3 linked regions of the Sus scrofa genome follow. The protein of the gene in region 3 purifies or fractionates together with the protein of the main gene of each other region. This does not show direct contact. Links are inferred from orthologs where the notes say so. Each region holds a gene or a part of one and is shown on either strand. Other genes may lie near its edges.

What was found. The genes of interacting proteins can lie anywhere in the genome.
Region 1: the proteins of NEPRO (region 3) and RPP25L purify together in Homo sapiens (affinity purification with mass spectrometry; 3 studies listed by BioGRID and IntAct, with this or other methods). This does not show direct contact. The link is inferred for Sus scrofa from reciprocal best matches to the Homo sapiens genes RMP64 and RPP25L.
Region 2: the proteins of NEPRO (region 3) and NPM1 purify together in Homo sapiens (affinity purification with mass spectrometry; 4 studies listed by BioGRID and IntAct, counting the BioPlex papers as one, with this or other methods). This does not show direct contact. The link is inferred for Sus scrofa from reciprocal best matches to the Homo sapiens genes RMP64 and NPM1.

The regions. Positions count from the first base shown.
Region 1 is NC_010452.4:32,185,544-32,193,633, forward strand, and holds RPP25L (ribonuclease P protein subunit p25-like protein), read left to right. Parts: upstream 1-3,638; 5' UTR 3,639-3,735; exon of another isoform or gene 3,736-3,757; intron 3,758-4,509; 5' UTR 4,510-4,543; coding exon 4,544-5,035; 3' UTR 5,036-5,886; downstream 5,887-8,090. Other genes in the region: DCTN3 (dynactin subunit 3), read left to right, coding at 502-560, 1,156-1,476. UniProt on the Homo sapiens protein: May be a component of ribonuclease P or MRP.
Region 2 is NC_010458.4:52,777,359-52,785,425, reverse strand, and holds the start of NPM1 (nucleophosmin), read left to right. Parts: upstream 1-3,563; 5' UTR 3,564-3,780; coding exon 3,781-3,838; intron 3,839-5,763; coding exon 5,764-5,843; intron 5,844-6,679; coding exon 6,680-6,799; intron 6,800-7,132; coding exon 7,133-7,226; intron 7,227-7,526; coding exon 7,527-7,633; intron 7,634-7,742; coding exon 7,743-7,810; intron 7,811-8,067. UniProt on the Homo sapiens protein: Involved in diverse cellular processes such as ribosome biogenesis, centrosome duplication, protein chaperoning, histone assembly, cell proliferation, and regulation of tumor suppressors p53/TP53 and ARF.
Region 3 is NC_010455.5:146,910,753-146,917,932, forward strand, and holds the end of NEPRO (nucleolus and neural progenitor protein), read left to right. Parts: coding exon of another isoform or gene 1-21; exon of another isoform or gene 22-217; coding exon 218-319; exon of another isoform or gene 320-459; coding exon 460-716; exon of another isoform or gene 717-1,872; coding exon 1,873-2,323; 3' UTR 2,324-4,003; downstream 4,004-7,180. UniProt on the Homo sapiens protein: May play a role in cortex development as part of the Notch signaling pathway. Downstream of Notch may repress the expression of proneural genes and inhibit neuronal differentiation thereby maintaining neural progenitors.

The sequences.
Region 1 (8,090 bases), on a different chromosome or scaffold from region 3:
CCCCCTCCCTACCCTGATCAGCTTCCTGCTGAGCATCTGACAGCCTTAAGCTGTAGGCCCAGCATGGTGGCTGAGGCTCTGGGTGTTGGATTCTAGGTGGCCAGCTTAGGGACCTGGCACTCATCCTCAGCCCACTTTCAGGCTCCCTATTCCCTGGATCAGGCAGACCTGAGAGCAAAGGAACAGATCCCATGATAATCAGGGCTTTCTTTACCTGGCCCTGCTCACAGCATTGGGGTGGGTGTAAGGGGCAACTCTGGGAACCCCAAGGATTGGTCTTCTAGAGATCTGTATCTTCCCTGCCCCTTTGGGTACTAGAGTGAGACTGGGGTGGGCAGAGAGAGCCCCCCCAACCCCCCTCCAGCTGCAGTGGTCGATGAAGCTGGCGTTTGTTTAGCTTCTCCACTCAATACTCTAATCCTGCCAAAGACCTAATAGACTATTGAGCAGTCCCGGGGGACGGCACAAGCATCATTGGGCAGTGTGCGTTGTGTTTTACAGCCGTTCCTGAGCATGCTGCCCGCCTGCAGCGCTTGGCCCAGATCCACATCCAGCAGCAGGTATGGGAGGGAGAGGACTGGAAGGGAAAGTAAAGGCAGTGAGGCTCCGAGTCCACACCCCAGCCTCCTGGGGATGCAGCCTTAGGCTCCCATAATGTCAGCTTCAGGGGAAACTTAGGGTGTATCCTTGGTCTTCCATCTGCCTTCAAGAGGGGAAGGGACTTGCCTAGGGCCACATGCAGGTCTCCTGCCTCACAGAGTAGGGCTATCCTGAGACACCAGGAGGTTGAAGTTGGGAGGTACCCAAGAATTCCTGGGGATGATGTGTCCTTGACCATGAGTGGAAGAGCTGTTTTTTCACTATTCTTAGGCCCTAGTATAAAGTTCAAAGGGGGTTCAGAACTAGGGGACAGGGGAGGAGGAGATAAATACTAGCAGGAATATTTCCTTAACTATGATTCCATTCCTCTCTGTCAGCCTTAGGACTGCAGTTAGATTACCCATCCCAGAGCCTGCAAGTGCCCCTTTAGAAATTTGCTCCTTGTGGCTCTGGGGTTAAACATCACCTTTTCTAGGCCCTCTGGGGAGTGGTGAGGCAGGAAATAGAAAGTGGGCTTTATCCAATGCCTTTCTCTGCCACTCCTTGGCCCCACAGGACCAGTGTGTGGAGATCACTGAGGAGTCCAAGGCTCTCCTGGAGGAATACAACAAGACTGTATCCTTTCTGCTGTCCAGAGTCCTATCCCCTTTTCTATTTCTGGCTCTGGCTCTCCCATCCCATCCCAACCAGCCTCTCTACTCCCCTGCTCCTCCACCCTTCCGACAGGTACAAAAATCTCTCCACTCCCTCTTTCAGACTCCTGTTCTCACCTTGACCTTCAATCAGACAATGCTTCTCTCCAAGCAGTTTGTGCAGTGGGATGAACTACTTTGCCAGCTAGAGGCTGCCAAGCAAGTGAAGCCAGCCGAGGAATGATGGCTGCTGCCCACCCCAGGTGGATCAGGACAACCAGGCTTCAAGCCCTGGGACAACCTGCCCTTGTAACAGGCAGAGCAGAGGCAGCTCTCTATTTATTGGATTCACACCCTACCTAGACAGGCTTAGGTGGGGCTCTTGCTACTTGAGATTTGCTATTTGCGCCCCTCCCCTCATCAGTGTCCTAGTCCAGTGACAATAAACTGTGGAGATCATTGAAGGAGTGTGCCAGCTTCCTGATCCAGGATGGGGGTGGTGGTGGGGATAAGGGTGGTGGAGGCCAGAGAGTGGCATCAGCCTTCCTAGTAGTTTGGACCAAGAGCTATACTCATTAGTCTGGCTTTCTGGGAAATGTAGAGCTCTCATGACAAATGCTCTCATTTGCTTGATGTGAGTGGACATTCGTTTATGTGTCCATTTATCCCACATTTACCAAGTACACGCTAAATGTCAGATGCCAGAGTTACTCTTGTGGCGCCTAAGAAGTGAATCCGACTAGACCCTAAAAAGACAAAAAGACCAAAAAAATAAAAAGAGAGAGACATTGTTTGGAGTTCCCGTCGTGGTGCAGTGGTTAACAAATCTGACTAGGAACCATGAGGTTGTGGTTCGATCCCTGGCCTCGCTCAGTGGGTTAAGGATCTGGTGTTGCCATGAGCTGTGGTGTAGTTTGCCGATGCAGCTCGGATCTGGAATTGCTGTGGCTGTGGCTGTGGCCAGCAGCTACAGCTCTGATTAGACCCCTAGCCTGGGAACCTCCATATGCCAAAGGTGCAGCCCTAAAAAGACCAAAAAAAAAAAAAAAAAAAAAAAAAAGAAAAAGAAAAAGAGAGAGAGAGAATCCAACTAGTAACCAGGAGGTGGCAGGTTTGATCCTTGGCCTCGCTCAGTGGGTTAAGGATCTGGCACTGCCAAGAGCTGTGGTGTAGGTCGAAGATGTGGTTCAGATCTTGCGTTGCTGTGGCTGTGGACCAGAAGCTGTAGCTTGGATTGGACCCCTAGCCTGGGAATCTCCATATGCCACGCGTAGCCCTAAAAAGAAAAAAAAAAAAAAAAAAAAAAAAAATTAAAAAGGTCAGATGCCAACCAGGTGGGAAGGACACAGATAGGGTCCACCTGATCCCTACCCTTTACAGCCTAGCTAGGGAGACAGTCAAGGAAAAGGGAAGGGGACCAGGTGGCACCAGGGTTCTTTGTGGCACAGAAGAAAAAGGAAAGTGGGGGACATCCCTGGAGGGTGATACACAGGGTCTTTGAGAGCCGAGGTTGCAGCATGTGCAAAGGCAGAGGGGAGCTTTTAAGTTTTTTTCTGGGGAGCCTACTTGGTGCTATACCGAGAAGGGGAGCCTAAAAGAGGTTTGGAGACGGGGATTTTAGTTGGGTGCGGGGGTGGTTGGAAAGGAGAAGGGGCAGGTTGGAGCCGAGAAACAGTGGCACTTCACTCCACCAAGTGTTTGCTGCCCCCTTGTGGTCTCAGGGACTGCTGTGCCTCCAGGCCCCTTTCATCCGCCGCCGGCCTTCCACCCCACCCGCGCGGTCTCGTTGGCATTTCGAATTGAGCTCGTCTGATACTGGGAGTCATCCTAGACTCTTCCCTCTTTCTCCGTCGGAACAGTCGCCAAACCTACTTCCTGTTATCTTCCAAATGAATCTACTTCTCCCCATTACTCTGCCATTTCTCTAGTTCATTCTTTCAACAAATAATTTAACAAATATTTGAGCCCTATCATACGCTGGTCCATGTGGACACGCCCCCGGGAGTCACCAGCGGATGCGGCCGGTCCCCGCTCCCTTCTGCGCTGCGGCCAGAGTGAGCTGTGCCAAAAAGATCTGGTTTGACCTGCGCCTGATGAAACCTCCCCGTGATACGCCAGTGTCCACAAGATGAGGTCTAGACTCAGAACTCTGTGACCAAAGTTCTTGTCCCCGCAGCAGCAGCCCCCCTCTTGCTCCCGTCCGAAGTGAAACCCGCTGCTCTGCCTTTGTTACTGCACTGTGTTCAACAGAGGTCAAATCCTTCACTTCCTTCCGACGGGAGACGACTCCTAATACCCTCATGCCACCGGCCCTCGCGTCGCGGCTGGGCTCATACCCACAAGCTGCCGTCGCGGCCGCTCTCAGTTTGTGGGCAGAGTCGCCTCTGGTCCTGTCTCCTGAGGCCCCGCCCCGTCCGGCGTGCGCGGCCCCGCGGCCTCGGCGCGCCCCCGTCCCGCGCCATTTTGGACTAGGAGCGAAGTGGTAGAGTGCGTGGCTGCTGTGGTGAGAGCTAGAACCCAGCGGGGTGAGGGCGCCCGGAGTCGGGGGCAGGAGAGGGGAGGCCGGCTGCTGGGCCGCTGCGCCCGCCTGGACACTGGGAGCAGCCCGGGGCGGTGGCGGCCGCGGACCGGCCGCCAGGAGTAGCCCGAGCAGCCCTCCACGCTATCCCCGACTTACTGAGTGACCTGGGTTAGGGGAATCGACCCAGGGGATCTTTGGGCGAGGGATGCTCGGCCCTGTCCTGGAGGTCCTGGAGTTGGGGAGGGGGTCACTTCTGCCTTTGAGGAGCTTTTGGAAGAGGGGTCTGCCTTGGGGAGCTTGGGGTGTAGAGGCTTGGCCCTGCCCTCCGGGAGCACGAAGTGAGGGAACCTTGTCCTCGTCCCTCCTTGGAGAGTCCAGGGAGAGGAGCACAAAGTCTTGTTCTCAAGCAGCCTGGGCCGAGGGCCCCAGCCCTGTCCCAAGGCGCCCCAGATGAAGGAAGTTCGTTACCAGTGCTGGGCAGCTTGGGATGAGGGGGCTCGGCCAGTGGGGAATCTGGTCCTGTCTCTGGGACTGCGGGGGTCGGGGGAGGGTTATGGCTCTGTCCGGAGGAAGGGGATACAGCCCCCTGTCAGGGGGAGGCAGGCATCCCTGCTCTGGGGGTGAGGGGATGTGGTCCTGTTCCTGGGAAGTCTGGGTTGAGGAGCACAGCCATGTCCTAGGGAGCCAGGGATGGGGGGTGGGGTGGGGGATGGCCTGGGGCACCTTGCCTAGCATTCCTCTGACACCTCCCTGCAGCGGGCAGCAAGATTGAGACCCAGCAGCAAGCGAGATGGAGCACTACCGGAAAGCTGGCTCTGTGGAACTACCAGCACCTTCCCCAATGCCCCAGCTGCCTCCTGATACCCTGGAGATGCGAGTCCGAGATGGCAGCAAGATCCGCAACCTGCTGGGACTGGCGCTGGGGCGGTTGGAGGGTGGCAGCGCCCGGCATGTGGTCTTCTCAGGTTCTGGCCGGGCTGCCGGCAAGGCTGTCAGCTGTGCCGAGATCGTCAAACGGCGGGTACCAGGCCTGCACCAGCTCACCAAGCTGCGCTTCCTGCAAACAGAGGACAGCTGGGTGCCAACCTCACCTGACACTGGCCTAGATCCCCTCACAGTCCGCCGTCATGTGCCTGCGGTGTGGGTACTGCTCAGCCGGGACCCCTTGGACCCCAATGAGTGTGGCTATCAGCCCCCAGGGGCACCCCCTGGCCTGGGCCCCATGCCCAGCTCCAGCTGTGGCCCCCGACCCCGAAGAAGGGCACGAGACACCCGGTTCTGAGGACCTGCCAAGCAAGCTGTTCTCCAGGCCTGAATGTCTAGGATGGCTGTGCCTTCTTTGAGAAGCCCTGTAACTGCTCAACATCCCCATCTAGACTTGAGGTTACAGAAGTGGACCTCCCTGTCCTACTTCAACTTCCCTCTGGCTGGTGGAAAGGGACTGTGATGAAGAGTGACAGGTGTGGGGTCTCTGCTGAGTTCTGGATTGCTTAAGAGGAGCTTATTCTGCCTTCCACCTACAGTGACTCTGATCTACCTTCTGACAGAGGTCTGAGGAGTGGGTTAGGAAATAAAAGTTCTGCCCATTTGATAAGCCTCTGCTCGGCCTGCTGTGTGGAGGTGGGATTAGGGGAAGAGGAGTCCTTGCCCTTGACCCCCAGGAGCTCACAGGTGGGAGACAGGAAGGGTAGGCTCAGGTTGGTGCTGGAAGGATCTAGGGTTGATTAAAAAGCCTCAAGTGGTAACCTGTCTGTGTCTAAACCACTGGGTGGCTGACTGCTGCCTGTTTGAGGCTGGTTTAAAGACTCTCTACCAGGACAGACATTTTTCCTCATCTGTAGCATGTTGATATACTTCATTCTATTGCACGTCCCAAATACTGTGTTTTCTACAAAGTAAGTAAGGGTTTGTAGCAAGCCTGCATTGAGCAAGTCTGTTGGCGACATTTTTCCAACAGCATCTGCTCACTTTGAGTTTCTGTCACATTTTGGTAATTCTCACATTGCAAACTTTTTCATTGTTATGTTTGTTATAGTGATCTATGATAAGTGATCTTTAATGTTACTGTTATAACTCATTGAAGGCTGAGGTGATGGTTCAACTTTTTCTAGTAATAAAATGTTTTTATTTTTATTTCTTTGCTCTTTTTTAGGGCTGCACCTGTAGCACATTGAGGTTCCCAGGCTAGGGGTCGATTCAGAGCTGCAGCTGCCGGTCTACACCACAGCCACAACAATTCGAGATCCAAGCCTTGTCTTTGACCTACACCAGAGCTCACGGCAACTCTGGATCCTTAACTCACTGAGCGCGGCCAGGGATCAAACCCACATCCTTATGGATACTAGTCAGGTTAATTACCGCCAAGCCACAATGGGAACTCCTAAAGTATTTTTAAATTAAGGTATGTACATTGGTTTTTTAAACAATACTATTGCACTCTTAATAGACTATAGTATAGTGTAAACAACTTTTGTGTGCACTGGGAAACCAAAAAGTTCTTGTGACTCGCTTTATTGAGATCTTCATTTAATTGAGATGGTCTGGAACTAAACCCAAAATATCTCTCTCAGGTATGCCTGCATTATAGTGTAGTGTTTAAGATCGTAGACTTGAGCACCAGACTACCTGGATTTGAATCCTGGTTTTGCCACTTGCTAGCAAGTTACTGTTTTGTGACTTTGGGCTCTGTGCTTTAGTATTCTAAAACAGGGTATAGTGCTTACCTCATAAGATTGTTATGAGGGAACCTGTTGTGGCTCAGGTGATATCTAAGAATCATATGTGTATATTTTCCACATTTAATCCTAACAGTCTTTTTTTTTTTAATTTGACTAGCATCTATGAGGACGCAGGTTCAATCCCTGGCCTCGCTCAGTGGGGTAAGGATCCAGCGTTGCTGTGAGCTGTGGTGTAGGTTGCAGAGGTGGCTCAGATCTGGAGTGGCTATGGCTGTGGCATAGACCAGTGTCTGTAGTTCTATTCAACCTGTAGCCTGGGAACTTCCCATGTGCCGCAGGTGCAGCCCAAATAAAAAAAGACAGAAAAAAGATTGTTAGGAGTTCCCATCGTGATGCAGTGGTTAACGAATCCCACTAGGAACCATGATGTTCCGGCCTTGCTCAGTGGGTTAAGGATCCGGCGTTGCCATGAGCTGTGGTATAGGTTACTGACTCAGCTCGGATCCTGCATTGCTGTGGCTCTGGTGTAGGCCAGTGGCTACAGCTCCGATTAGAACCCTAGCCTGGGAACCTCCATATGTCGTGCGAGTGGCCCTAGAAAAGGCAAAAAGACCAAAAAAAAAAAGATTGTTAGGATTAAATGTGGAAAATATACACATATGATTCTTAGATATCACTTGGGCCTATATACACTAAGCCCTCTGTATCTGTGGGTGTGGAACCTATGGACACAGAGAGCTGACTGCCCTACGCCATTTTATATAAGGGATTTGAGCATCTGTGGATTTTGGTAAAAAAAAAAAATCCATGAGAGAGTTCCCGCTGTGGAGGGGAGAGGTGCACATTGCAGTGGTAGCCAGGGGCTCCAGGAACCAGAGCAGGATTATGGGTAGGCAGGAAGGAGTGAGTGAATTGGGTCTCCCACTGAGTTTTATGGTTATCTTCATTGTGTCCAGTAGCCTGGGTGTCCAGTTCCAGGAATGCAACACGGACCCTTGTGGCGGGTGGGCACAGCAACCTGAGAGTGTGGAAGAGATGCTTGGCTGAGTCCAGGCAGATATTGGGAGAGATGGAGATGGGGGACTGGAGGCCTCAAGGTGGGCCTAGAGCAGGGAGGAGGGGACCACAGGGTCAGCACGCTGTTGTCAAAACTTTGAATACTGCATCCTTTGCTTTCCAAGGTAAGTTACCCAGAGTGGAGGGGCAGGTAATGGAGACTCAAGGGATATTATTAGGATAGACAGGAAACCCTCTCAGCAGCTGCCCAGCCAGGCCTCTCAGCTGCAGAAGGTCATGAAGCATCTAACACACTTCTAGAGGCTGCCCTCCTCCCCTTGCTTTTTCTCTGAGCATTTTTTTTTTTTTTTGGTCTTTTTTAGGGCTGCACCTGCAGCATATGGAAGTTCCCAGGCTAGGGGTGGAATTAGCTGCTGGCCTATGCCATAGAAACAGCAATATGGGATCTGAGCTGCTGTGGCCAGGGTGGGATGATCATGTAGAATAAGTGTGGTGACATGTGCTGGGGGAATGATCCAGAGTGCTAGGATGGGCTCCCAGTTGGGCACCCACCGGGGATATCTTTTCTTCACATTTTCTCCCTAATCCACTGTAGAACAGCTTCTTTTGTTATTGTTATTATTATTATTATTTTATGGTGGC
Region 2 (8,067 bases), on a different chromosome or scaffold from region 3:
GCCACATGTAGTTACTGGCAGACACACCTGGTAGAGCATGTTATGTTGAAGCTTTAAAAAACTGTTTAAAGCCACAAGAAATGAAGAAGGGAAGTTGCCTAACAATTGCTGTGGCCTGAATATTTCTATGCCCCCCCTCAAATTCATGCTGAAATGTTATCCCCTAACAATGATGATATTGGTAGGTGAGGCCTTTGGGAGGTGATTCGGTCATGAAGGTGGAAAAGCCCTCATGATTAGAGCTTGTCTGAGATTCTGCAGAGCTCTCCCTGGCCCCTTCTACCACCAGAGAATACAGTGAGAGTCCTCCCTTGACCATGCTGGCCCCCTGATCTTGGACTTACAGCCTCTAGAACTATGAGAAACAAAGTTCTGTTGTTTATGAGTTACCCTGTCTTTTCCTTTTGCAGCCTGAATGGACTAAAACAGCAATATAGAAAGTATGACCGTATTTCTGTAAATAATAAAAGATGCATTTATTTGTATATGTATTTGTAATTAAATATCTGCCTTTTCATGTTCAAGTCTTTCTTAGAATATATTTAAAAAATTATTTTTAGACATCCATAAAGATATATGTAGAAAGTTACTATAGTTTTCTGCAGGGGCTGCCATAACAAAATACCACAGACTGGGTGGCTTAAACAACAGAAATTTCTCACAGTTTTGGAGGCCGGGAAGTCCAAGATGAAAGGGCCAGCTAATTCAACTCCTGCTAAGGGCTTTCTTCTGGCTCGCAGATGTCTGCTTTCTTACTACATCTTCACAAAGATGAGAAAAAGAAAGGTCTGGTGTCTCTTCCTCTTATTCTAAGGGCACCAGTCCTATAGACTGGGGTCCATCTTTATGACCACATTTGAGCTTTATCACCTTTTCACAGGTTCTGTCCCCAAATAGTCACACTGAAGGTTAGGTTTTCCACATACGAATTTTGGGAGAACACAAATATTCAGTCCATAACATTTATGAAAGTATTATTACTTTTTTTTCTTTTTACGGCTGTACCTGCAGCACATGGAAATTCCCAGAGCTAGGGGTTGAAAAGGAGCTGCAGCTGCTGCTCGGGATGCGGTCCCAGCTGCATCTAGAGGGAACCTATGCTGCGGCTTGCGGCAACACCAGACCCTTAACCCACTGAGCAAGGCCAGGGATTGAACCCGCATCCTCATGGATACTAGTTGGGTTCTTAACCCACTGAGCCACAACAGGAACTCCCAAATATTCTTTCCTTTTTTTTTTTTTTTTTTTTTTGTCTGTTTAGGGCCACATGTGCAGCATATGGAAGTTCCCAGGCTAGGGGCTGAATCAGAGCTACAGCTGCTGGCTTATGCTACAGCCACAGCAATGTAGGATCCAAGCCATGTCTGTGCCTACACCATTTATGGAGAAATGGATAAATTATAACATATCCATATTATGTACTAGTTGGACAAATGTCCAAAATATATTCTTGAATATAAAAAGCAAGTTCAACAATATATGAATCACATTAAAAAAAAAAAAATACAAAAAGAGCTCCCTTGTGGCACATCTGGTTAAGGATCCAGCGTTGTCACCACAGTGGCTTGGGTTGCTGCTGCAGTGTGGGTTCGACCCCTGGGCCAGGAACTTCCACATGCTGTGGGCATGGCCAAAAAAAAAAAAAAAAAACCCAAAAAATTCTCAAATACATAATAATTTTCTACTCACTTATATACAGTCTGGAAGTGTAATCACAAAACTATACGTGATTAACCTTGTACAAGGTCTAAATACTTCTAATTTTTAAAAAAGATAATGGACAATCATCACATTTTTAAATCTGAAAAGTGCAAAAACTTTTTTTAATTGCTTGACTCCATGAAATCATAACTAGACTAGGTGTCTGAAACAGAAACACAGCAAATGTATTTATATAATATGCACTATGGCTCCCAGAGAGTTCATGCTCTGTGCAAAACTGCACTGAATAATCATGGTCTAGAAAGCTGAAAGAAATTATAAAGTCATTTCAATTTTTCTTGCAGGGGCCCAAAGAACATTAACCCCTTCTCCACTCCCCTGTAGCTCTTTCTCTCTCTCATTCTAACACCTCTAAATCCGCCTCAGGCACAGTCCTCTCCTCCCTTTTATCAGCCTTTCTCAGTTCCTTTACGGATGTTCTCCGCTACATCTTTTCTCCCCAACAAGTGGCAATCCGTAGTAACTTTCCAAGACTCGGTTTTTTTCTCTAGTAATTGGTCACACTCTGCATTTTAAAAGATGCTAGAACCAAGCTGGTAAAGACTTTTTTCAGTTGGGAGCAGGGAAAAGCGGAGAACAGCTTAGTCCATTCACAAATAAGCATTGATTTCTCCACATTTTGAATTTTGATTCTGTTAATTATTGGTTCATGCGTATCACAGTTTATCTTCCCAAGTAGCCTATGTTTGGAGAAAAGGCGGTAGGGGATTGCTGTCACTATTTTTATTCTTTACAGTACTTTAATTTTTTAAATTTGTGTAAAAACCATAATTGTGGGGATCTTCAGCACCCCTGCCCGAGGAGCTGCGGTTGGGGGAAGGGTGGTCCTCAGTTTGACAGCGTACTTTAAGATACTCATTTCCAGGCTCGCTTCCAGAGTCTAAGTTTGTGTATTTCTTAAACGTCAAATGCCTTCTTTTCAGGCCAGAACAACCTTAGTGATGTTAAAGATTAAGAACTGCACAACCTCAGACACTGGACCCCCGTGTAATCCCCCGAGCTTTTAGACAGGTGTTAGTATTAGACTTGGAGCTAGAGAACCCTGTTTCTGTAACCACTCCGTCTGGGCACCTTACTTCCTCGTGGCGCGTCTCCCTGTCCGCAAAATGGGGATAGTCACATCTGCCTCTTACCTGTTACGTGGGGACATACGGTGGATACACAACCCTTTTAAAACTTTCTCTTTGGAGAAATCACCCAGGCTTGGTTCCTGCCCTGCTCATATGAAAGAGACCGATTTAGAACCCCCTGTTGGCCTCCCAGTGACGTAATGTCGAAGAATTTTAAATTCGGAGATGTTTCCTCAGAAAGGACAGGGGGTTAAAAACAGAACCGATTAAGTCTGGCCAGCAGCTACATCTTTTCTCCCCAACAAGTGGCAATCCGTAGTCCACTGTCTCTGGCACCTTAAGCTTTAACTTTGGGGAAACAATGAACTCTGGGCTCAGGCCTTCAGGCGAGCCAAAAAACTGGAAGTGGTTATGCCTGTTTGCAGGCCTGCGAGGCATGAGGAGATGGCGAAAGGAGAAATGAGCTGCTCTCTGGTTCACTTACAACCAGCTCGCCCTTCGTACCTAACCCAGCTAAGAGTTGCTGCCGCCATTTTGCAGGGTGGGCTGCGCAGGCTCTTGGCGCAAGGCCCGCGCTCCTGAGCGGGAGAGGACGTGGAAGGTTTGGAGGGTGGGGGAACGCGCGCTACGAGGGGGAAGTACGCGTGCGCACAGGCGGTGGCGGCGAAGTGGGTGGGACCAGGGTACGAATGCGCGTGCTCGGTGGGAGCCCGCGAAGTACCTGGAGGAGGTGGGGGGCGAGGTAGCAAGGAGTGATGTTGAAGAGCGCTTGCGCAGGAGAGAGACTGTGCGGGGAGGGGGGCTTCCGAGCACGCGCGCGGAGGCGGGACTTGAAGAGCTCTCGCGAGATCGTCAGGGTGCTATATATGTGCGCAGGGAGCCCGCGTCCTTTCCCTGGTGTGATTCCGTCCTGCGCGGCTGTTCTCCGCAACACTAGTGGATTATCTCCGTCCGCCTTCTCTCCCACCCAAGTGCGTGCCACCAACCCATGGAAGATTCGATGGATATGGACATGAGCCCCCTGAGGCCTCAGAACTATCTTTTCGGTAAGTACTGGCGTGTTGGGCCAAGGCCGAGCGCGGCCTGGTGGCTTTGGAGTGGGTGGTGGAAATCACACTGAGGCCTGGGCAGGTGGAGAAAGCTAAGCAGGCTGGAGGCCTGCGGGAGTGGGAAGCGAGCTGCTGGGGTCCTGAAGCTTAAGGATGGGGACCTGGGAGGGCGAGCCGGCACCACGGAGTGACTGGGAAGTAAGGGCGGCCTGAAGCGTGAGCGGTCCGAGGCCCAGGGCCTGAGTTAATGTGGAACCCACCGGTTTAGGGTTGGGCGTTAGCTGGGGCACGTGGTAGAGCTCCGGGCATAATTTTTTCCTGGGGTTGCGTGAGTTGGTAGGCTTCTGATTCCAGACTAGTGCCTGATGCTGGACTCCAGGTTGGTGGTGCAAGAGATTGTGGGGGATCAGGGTGTGAGACGTGGGCTTCCTATCTGGACGGAGAGGACAAATGGAGCCTGGCGTTGTCCTACAGGCCTAAAGGGTCAGGAGGTCTAGGGCCCAGACTCGGCCCGGGTTCTTCGGCCGGTTACAGGGGGATGGGAGCCGCGGCCCGGCGTGGGGAGGCCGCTACCGCTGGGAGCACGTGGTTGCCACGTGGTTGGGGGAAGGAGGGGTGTGGGCGCTACATCCGGGGTTCACTGGTGTCTTGTCACTCCGAGCCTGGGGTCCTGGGGCTTAATTGAGGATGGTGGACGGGAAATTTTAGGTGAAGTGGTTCGTAGCGCCAGTACTCTTGAGGTCTTTGTTAAGTGGTTAACATCAGTGCTGGTAGTTCTAGAGTTCTTTTTCTATCTCTCCGCGCTCTTTGCAGATGACTTACTGATACTCGGAAAACTGAAGGTTGCACTTAATAGTTCCAACCCCACAACGCTTGCTTCCAGAGCTGGTGCTTTACAAATGATTTGGGAGGTGGGCAGCAGAGGCAGCCTTCTGTTAAACTTGTAGTTCTATTACCAAGGTTTTGTTGCTCACCTCAATCACACAGTGCCATCCTAGGAGACTTGGGTTGGTTTTTCAACTTCACTAAACTTAATTGTTAAAGCCATTTTTTTTCGGTTAGGTTTTGAAGAAGTGCAAATGCCTTCAAGTTCATTTTGTTATATATCGTGCTGAGATATGTTAATTGAGCAGGAACATTTATACATCTCTTGCAGTAAATAAGTAGATGGCAATTAAATGGTATTATTTAAATTAAAATTTAGTTCTGACTATTAAAATCAGTTTGCCTATTCATGAGTGGTAATGGTAACATGCGCTATACATTAAGGGTTTTATTCTTAGCCGGTTTGAAAAGCTGGAGTTTCTGATCAGTTTATATCAAAAACGTTTGTGTTTACCCTCGGAAATATCCCTGGGATATTTCTAGTTTTGCCTTAGATATAATTTCTGAACAGAGTTTATATATATCACTTGTTAGTTCAGAGATGGATTGTGGACCCGTGTAACAACCTTTAGTTCTCCTACTTTGTAGTCTTTCTGTGTTGTAAATACAAGCTGTCGATGTATGTGTTTGTGTAACCACTGTCATTTCTAAATTGGCACTCCTCCTGGGAGTTGGGGTAGGTAATTCAACTTTTTAAAATAGTGGGGTTTTTATCAACATATGTTAGGTTTGGTTTAAGTTCCAGCTTTTACTAAATCTTTGATACTGTTTCCACCTAAGAAGAGTGTAGTTGAGCATAAAATAGTATGATGGAAAGGAGGAATTTATAAAACTATGAAAGTTATTTGCTCTATATGGATGTTATTTGATGTTTATAGACTTGTGTGTTCAAGAAGGCCTGTAAGAGGTACTTCTGCCTTGCTTTTTGGTAGCTAGAATAGAATAGTAAAATCAAGTAACTTTTGGTTACCCACAGTGACGTTTCATTCAGTGTTATTTTTCTCCTTGTTATAGTAGGGTTGTTTCCTCATTTACAGGTTGTGAACTAAAGGCCGATAAAGATTACCACTTTAAGGTGGATAATGATGAAAATGAGCACCAGTTATCTTTAAGAACGGTACGTAAAACTTTTCAAGACAAAGTACTCTCGATTTCAGACACCGCTTAATTTGTGTGGCTTAACATTAGAAAAGTATTTCTATAGTTGTTGTATATGCTTGGTTTTCCACGTGTGTTATAGAAAACCTGCCGTCTTTACCACTCATTTGATATTTTGAACAGTCCAATCACACTGTTCAGCTTTCCTTATTTTCACTGTTACTGTTTCTCTATTTGCTTTTTAGGGCCGCCCCTATGGCATATGAAAGTTCCTAGGCTAAGGGTCAAATTGGAGCTGCAGCTGCCGGCCTACACTGCAGCAACACAGGATCCGAGCTGCCTGTGCAAATCTGCACTGAAGCTCCTGGCAACATGGGGTCCTTAACCCACTAAGGGAGGCTGGGGATCAAACCCGCATCCTGATGGATACACATTGGGTTGGTAATCCAATGAGCCACAATGGGAACTCCCCAGCTTTCCTTATTGTGTCATCTACTTTTCTTGAGTTGTATTAAAAACTCTTTAGGGTAGTGACAAATATACATCTTGTTCCCCAGAGACTAGGCTATAGCCTACTACTTAAATTGTAGGTGGCCGGTAAATGTTAGGCGATTCATACTGTGAGTTAACAGTGGTGATGGCATAAGTATGTGTCATCAAATGCATTTTAGTGTATTTGTTCAAAGTTACTGAGTATGAGACTAGGGTCACATAAAACTTGAAGACAACTTTGAGCTCGTCAGTTTTCCATCAGTGGTAATAATGGAAGATGAATAATTATTCTGTATTTTAAAAAACTCATGGGGGGGCATTGTAAAATAGTGACAGTTTGAAGTACTGTTTTTCTATTCACAGGTCAGTTTAGGGGCTGGCGCAAAGGATGAGTTGCACATTGTAGAAGCAGAGGCAATGAATTATGAAGGCAGTCCAATCAAAGTAACACTGGCAACTTTGAAAATGTCTGTACAGCCGACGGTAAGGGCACTTTTATGCTTGGGATTTTATGTCCTTCTAATTCTTAACATTAAGATGGGTATCATTTAGGTTACACTAAGGAGATTGGGGAATGAGCTTTGGTTTTTCTTATAGTCAGAACTGTGTTGTCATTGGGGTTGACTGATCAACTCTTGGAACAAGGTGGTAGCTGCTTGCTTATCAGAGGTGGAAAAAAGATTCATTGGTTTGTTCATTTGGCCAGATGGGTTTGCTTCTTCAGTAACATTTTTAAGTATGAACAGGTTTTATATCAAACATATAATCTTAATTTTCTTCACACTATTTAGTGATGGATAAATTTCTCCTTTTTAGGTTTCCCTTGGGGGCTTTGAAATAACACCACCTGTGGTCTTACGGTTGAAGTGTGGTTCAGGGCCTGTGCATATTAGTGGACAGCACTTAGTAGGTATGTTATTTTTGTGTTATGTTGTTTTATTTTTCAGCAGCTACTTTGTTGCCAATTTGGAATAGGGTGTCTTTAGTTATAGTACTACTTACTGTCTGAGTTCAAGTGGGAATCTAGTCATTTGTAGCATGTAAAACCCAGTAATGAGTGTTAGCACTCAAAATACCTTTTTTTAAAAAACTTGTACCTTTTTTACTGTTTTTCTATAGAATCTCACTTTCAAAATACTCAGTATCCCTTTTTCTGAGTTCCTGCTGTTGGTTGAGTTTTCGTGGTAGCTAATAACGAATTTTATTGCAGCTGTAGAGGAAGATGCAGAGTCAGAAGATGAGGAGGAGGAAGATGTGAAACTTCTGAGTATATCTGGAAAGCGTTCTGCCCCCGGAGGTGGTAGCAAGGTTCCACAGGTATAGATGTGATTTATTGCACATTGAACTTCTTGTGGCCTTTTGTTTGGTAGTTTGGATTAATTATAATTAGTACTTGCTTAGGATTGTGTCCGTTTATTTTTTTAAGAAAAAGGTAAAACTTGCTGCTGATGAAGATGAAGATGATGATGAAGATGATGACGACGATGACGAAGAGTAAGTAGTATGCCCTTAGAAACCTGACATAGTTGCATGGGGAGTTATAAAAATTATTGAGAAAAATCATCCTGTGGGATTCGTGACAGTTACAAAAGGTAAATGGTCAGTGGTTGTCAGTTTGGGTTAAATGAACTGAGGTAAAGGCTGGAGTATGCAGCATTTCCCAAATGCATTTGACTAGGTGACTTTTTAGTCTGTGATCACATTCTTACATGCTAACAAGTCAGGTGTTGATGATGAATAGTTTGTAATAA
Region 3 (7,180 bases):
CATATAATCCTTGCAAGAGCCCTGTAAGGAAAGTGCTATTATTATTGTTTTCATATTTCAGATGAGAAAATTGAGGCACAAAAAAGATAAGAAATTTCTTCAGGCCACACAGCAAATATGCAGCAGAGTTGGGATTTGAACTCAGGCAGTTTAGTTACATAGTCTTTGTCCTTTATCAATATACCAGTCCCCAAAATAGTTTTGTCAGCTCTCTTAGGAACTGTGGCTCTCTGTGACCTTTGAAACTTCTGCAGTCCATCCACCTGTTCCTAGGAGAGCTGGTTCCAGTTACTTGACTCTGAAACCAAGTAAATTTAAGGTAAAGCTGTGTCTCAAAATTTTCTTCTTTTAAAAAGACATTTTCAAATTTTAATAGTCTGTGAGTCAACTTTCTCAGCTGCCATGTATTTCTGAGTCAGTAACAAATCAATATATTTTTCTCATCTTTCCATATTTTAGGAGACCAGTGTTGCATTTAAATGTTCTCAAGCCAAACTAATGGCAACCAAACATTCTTCTCAGAAAGCAATAGGAACTTGCATAAAAAGTTTTGTGCAAAGATTCCGAGAGGCTGACACTTTCAGACAACTTTCTGAAGAAATCCAAACGGCAATTCTGTGGTGTAGGAGCAAAAAACTCAAGGCCCAGACTGCCTTTCTGGGTAATAAACTTCTTAAAAGTAACCGGCTTAAACATTTGGAAGCTCAAGGCTACAGGTAGGTATATTACAAAAGTATATTCCTTTACTTTTTCTGTTTTCATTTGGGGCAAAAGTATATATGTACGTATTCAAGTTAGCCTTCTTTAAAACGGGATGTCCAGTAGCCTGGGGGCTAAAATTGGAATAGACTCAAATTGCAATTTTGTTTGCTGCTTATGTTGGATAGAACTATCTGTAGTGGGAGAGAAAGCTAGTCTGCCTACAGCTTCAGTGCAATGAGGGTGGGAGAGCAGAAGGTGCTTCCTACAAAAGCACACAGAAGACTCTGGGGCCAGAAAATTTCCATTTATAGGAGCTCAACTCTCCATGTAATGATTTCTTCCTTTTCCTGTGACTCTTACATTCAAAGAACTGCTTAAAGATGGTTATCTTTGACTGTGAGCCAGTACTGCTTAAAACAGTACATGAAGTTAGATACCAGAGTTTTATGTTTTTATTGGAAAAAATAGATGCCCATGGTAACACTTTCAGACATAAAGATTCTTATTCCCCCTTCACAGAGGCAATCACTCTGACCAGTGTTTATGTATCCTTTAAGAAATATTCTGTGCATCCACCATAATTTCTTAGCTGTACACATTTATCTGTTCAGGACTTTATAATGGTTTCAATGGATGAGTCACAGTCTAAAACTTATTAAATTTTCTTAAAAAATTTATGGAAAACTCCCTCTTCACTTTTACTCCTTTTTTCCTTGTTCATTTCCTGCCATAATACACAGCGGTGTTAATCAAGAAATGAGGTTGATGCATCCTGGCAAATTTTCTGCCTGTGATACATCGTTTCCCCGGTTCACCTCCTATTATATTATGAACAGATGAGCAATTATTGAGGGAAAGCTTTGGCATTAAAATACACACAGAGATATTTCACCATTCAGCCCCCTTGCTAGTTGTAACAGCTACTTTGGAAACATAATGGGGACACATTTGCCTACAGTCCAAATCAGGGGGATGTTGTATTCTGAAAACAGGTTTGGATGGAAGCTCTAATTTCCTTATTTTTCCTTATGATTCTGGAGTTGTACACAGGCGTAGGACTTATAAATTGTCTTTTTTCAGTTGGAAGTTGATAAAAAGAAAACAAGTTTTGAGAATGTTTTCCTGTATCTTAACAATCTCCATTTTTTTTCCTCTCTTTATCCTTTAAAGTTTGCCAAAGAAACTAGAGTGCATAAAAACCTCTATTTGCAACTGCCTTCTTCATGGCTCAGGTATCAAAACTTCAAAGCATCGTCTGAGACAAAGAAGATCACAGAATAAATTTTCACTGAGACAAAGGAAACCACAGAGAAAGTTACAGTCAATTCTTTCAAAGGAAATCCAGCAGTCCCCTAAAGGGACCCAGAGTGCTACAGACATCTTTAAAGGAAGACTCTCACACCCTGCAGTTCATAGAACTGATCTCTACCCTAACAAGCAGCAACTCCTGAGTACAGGAGTTTCAAATCCTTTCATACAAACCAAGGAGGAACAAACTCATGAAAATCTTAGAGGAAGCAATGAAAATGAAAGGACAATGATGCAAACAAATAAACATAATACATTAGGAACCATTCAGACAGATGACATTGATGATATTTTTGCTTTAATGGGTGTTTAGATGCTTTTATATGACTCTTAAGTGATTAACCAGCTGATCCAGTGTTCTGCTGTTGTAAGTAGAATAGCTGAGGTCTGGAAAGATCTGGAAAGTACCATTTGGACTCAGAGGAGCTGTGTTGGTGCAACATTGTACAGCAGTTCATTTCAGTTCAATAAACATTTATCATAGCTTTGTGTTATTTAATATTTGACTATTAAATAGTCAAATTTTGACTTAAGACGTGAAGAATTAGGTTTAAAAAACCTACTCTGTGCCTTCAGTAAATGGGGAGTGGGGGTTGGGAATAGCAAGGACCCATCATTTTAAAGTTTCCTTTTCTTTATCTGGCCATTTCCTTGTCTGCTTTCTGTAGGTTTTCTCACTTACCTATTGTACCAGTGGTTCTCAAATTGTATGCTATTTTGAGAATCACTTGGGTTGTTTAAAAATGCAGATTGAGTCCTTTCCAAAGAGACTGATAAACATGGCTAGGGTACAGGGACAGAAGTCTGCATTTTTAATAAGGGGTCCAGGTGATTTTCATACAAAGTACCCCAAAATGCAGAGTTAGATAAGCTCTGGTTTAGCTTTCTTCTGCCCTGAATCCTTGCTAAATATCCTGATTTAATTGAGTTCTTAATCTCTAGTCACTTTTTGTTGTTTATATTTCTCCTGCTTTCCTACCAAGTGGTAGAACTACTTAGTGCCTTAAAACATGGAAAATAACCAAGGAAATTTCATTCATAAGTCTAGAAACAGTCATTAACTTTAAAGATTTAAGGTCCAGTCTTGCTTCTGCTTTTATTTGCACATAACTCCACTAAGCCAGCAAGTTTCCCTGGCTTAGGTTCCTTCATCTGAAGTAGCATTACTGTCCAATAATCATAAACTTTTACAGCGGGAATAGACTAGAGATTATCCCTCATGGAAAAAACAGTAGCTCAGTGAATTGTCTAAGGAGGTAAAACTGGATTGGACTATAAGCCTAGCATATTTTTCTGCTTCATCAGTTGTTCTTTTGAGAATATTTCTTCATTTTCTCACCTCCTGCTCCTTACAATTCTGGGAAAAAATAGTAAAGAGCTTCATATGCTAATGAAGTGACAATTTATAGGTAAGGAATATAGTATTCTATGTTATTTTTTCCAAACAAATTCAAGTGTTTTAAAAGTGAAATCTTATATATACAAACCCGTAACTTAGCCAGTAAATTAGACTAGAAACTACTGTTAGCATCGTCATAGTGAACACCGATTTAATGACTTCTGGTGGCATTAGAACAGTAAGGTCATTTATAAGTGCAGTGTGAGAGACCTCCCATGTATCACTTCAGATCCTCTTTGGTCTTCGTACTTCAGCCATTACTATGGCAACCAGTTTCAAGTTGGACTGGGCAATCCACCTTGCCTCTGTTCTGAAGGCTTCTCCCTGCCTCCTGGCTTCTGAGAAGCTATATGAACTGCTTGGTATTTGGGCATGTATAGTGTAGAAGAGGTGTGGGCCCACCCTCTAACCCCCCCTTCAAAGACAATTCAGAGGCACACTTCATAAGGCTCCCTCATGTCCCTCAAATTCAAGCCCTAGTGCCTACATGGTGTCCAACTCAATGCATCTTTGATTGTCTTTCCTCCCACATGTTTCATTTCTCCATCACTCCTGTTCCCTGAGATCACATCCTCAATAAACTACTACACATAAGCTTTTGTCTCGGGTCCTGCTTTTGGGGAATCAGAACCAAGGCTAAGAAAAGCAGTAAAGTAACACTGGCGGGTAGAAAGATGACTTTTAAGATAATTTTGTTGCTACTATGTATTTTATCTTGCAAATGCCTATATAAAAAAGATTTTTTTTTTTTAAGCTTAAAACACTGCTGGTTAGAAGAGACTAGCACTATCAACTATAAAACTGAAAATATATTCAGAATTGAATTTTCTAAAAAAGCCGCAAAGTTGTTTAACAGCCTTAATTTTTTATCCGATGGTATTGTTTTTTGCAAATCAGTTTTCTCACCTAAAGCTATTTTTCTTCTTTTCTGGCCTTTCATTAGATAAAATGTTACTTCCTCCATGACAGAATGTTTTCTGTGATAAATCTACCTGTGAATTTCGCTAGGTATTTGGGTTGGTTTCACTTTACAAATATGCAGAATATGCAAATGTCCTTTTCACATTTTAATCTTCATAGCCTCTGAAGTAAGAGGTAACAAAAGAAGTTCAGAGAATTCAATTTGTCCAACGTCCAACATATAATAAATATTACAACTGGAACTTGAACCTTCATCTTCTGATTCCAAACCCTGTGGTCACCTTAAGGTAACTGATCCCAGCCTCAAATGACTGGTGCTTCCACTGAAATTTTATCCCAAGAATAGTTTCTTTTACATTCAAATAAGGACGCTGAAAAAAGATAAATTATAGCCATACATATATGAGAATTTATCTTCAAACTACCAGTGCTCAATAGAAAAGTAGCCCCTTTTTTTTAACCTAGTCCATTGTAATATTTTAAAAAATATAAGTAATAGATATTTTCTTTAAAAGACAAAAACCCAATAAATAATATAGCAAACCGTTGTCTACACAGTAGGAAACAAACAGGTTTTCATTTTATGGACTTCTTCTATATGTTCTTGTCAGTTTGTTAAAACAGAAAAATCTTGTATCTATTCTAATGGACGGTATAATTCAATCATTTTTAAACCTTTCCCCCACCAGGCACAAATTCATTCTTGCTTTGGGAAGATGCAGGTTTTAAAGCTGAAGTGATCCTTCTGTAAGTTACAGAAACACAACATTTAAAACAATGTTGAAATTCTAGGTATTTAACTTCAGTTGAAATAGAGAATTTTGAATCTTCAGCTAAACTGGAAGCCACTAGTCTTAAGATTTCCTGTTATATCTGCTATAAAGCATCTCAATAGATGGATTCCAGAAAAGGTAACAGCACTGTGAAAAGAAAAGAAAAATCATTTTCTTCCTTACTTCAGAGGTGGGAACAGGTCTGAATTCATCTAACTTAAAATCTGTTCGCAAATTGTTGTGAGTTCCATGTGTAAAACAGAATGTCTTAGTTTGTTCTACCTTTCCTCTCTTTCCCTCAGGCTCTTACAGTATTCTATATCTGGTGATCCACATTATCTCATCTATTTCCTTCAGGATTCCAAAAATTTCACCATATCTATATACTTTTTATCTTCCAGATAAAAATTTTTTTATTGTGGTATATAACTGACATATAACATTATATTTGTTTTAGTAGCACAATATGATCAATACTTGTATATACTGTGAAATGATCACCACAATAAGTCTGGTTACATTTGCCACCACATGTAGTTAAAAACTTTTTTTTCTTGTGATGAAGACTTTTAAACTCTTTCTTAGCAGCTTTCAAATATATAATATAGTATTACTAACTATAGTCACCGTGTTGTCCAGTGAGTCCCTATGACTTACTTTATAACTGGAAGTTTGTACCTTTTGACCTCCTTAACTCATTTCTCTCACCCCAAAGCTCTACCTCTGGCAATCACCAATCTCTTCTCTTTATCTATTTGTTTTGTTGTTGTTTTTTAAATTCCACATATAAATGAGATCACACAATATCTGTCTTTCTCAGACTTATCTCACTTAGCATAATGTTCTCAAGGTCCATTAATGTTGCAAATGGCAAGATTTCCTTAATTTTAATGGCTTAGTAGTATTCCATTTGTGTATACACAGTGACCCTTCAAAAACATGGGTTTGAAATGGGTGGATGGCATCTTTTCAATGGTAAATACTACAGGATTATACTGGTATGTCAGGCCAACTATAAGTTATAATTGGATTTTCGACTGGGCCAAGGGTCAGAGCCCCCTCAAGTTGTTCAAGGATCTATTGTATAATAATACATCTTTATCCATTCATCCATTGAGGGATACTTATCTTTCTTTGCTTTTGGATTTCACCAAGACTGATGTCAAGTGACTTCACCAATTTCCTTCTAGGAATTTTATGATTTCATGTCTTAGATTCAAGTTTTATTTCATTTTGAGTTAAATGTTGTATATAGTATAAGACAGTAGCCTCATTTCATTCTTTTGCTTGTGGCTGTCCAATTTTCCCAGCACCATTTATTGAAGAGACTGTCCTTTCCCCATCGTATATTCTTGGATCCTCTGTAAATTAATTGCTCATATAGCCATGTGTTTATTTCTGGGCTCTCTATTCTGTTCCACTGACCTCTGTGGGTTTTTTCTTTTATGCCAACATCATACTGTTTTCTTTATTATAACTTTGTAACATAGTTGGAAATCAGGAAGTGTGATGCCTCCAGCTTTGTTCTTTCTCAAGATTGCTTTGGCTATTCAGGGTCTTATGTGGTTCCACACAGGTTTTAGGATTGTCCTATTTCTGTGAAAAATGCCACTGGAATGTCTTCTATTTTGCTTTTTATTTCCCAAACTAAAATTCTGATCTCTCTAATTTGTTCTTTTTGTGACAAAGTTCCAATCATCTTGATGACTTAGACCTTTTTTCATGATTTTTAAAATGATCATCGCCATTATTGTATCTATTATTGATCTGTCACACTGTATCCATCCATATCCATTCATTCATTTTTTGGCATGGAAATGAACACATGGTTTCCTAGGATACATAGACTTTTATGGAGACACTATGACTTTTATGGGTACAGGTACAGTGCATATCTACATATGAAACATGTAAGATATTTTCTGCTGTACTCCTAAATACCCTTGATAAAAGTACAGCATTTTTGACTTTTTGACCAAAGCTGCCTATTTGAGAGCAGCCCATAATGATTCCCAGTTATAACTGAAGTTACCCACATATGGTTTAAAGGAGAGATACAAGTTTTGAAAGTCCACAC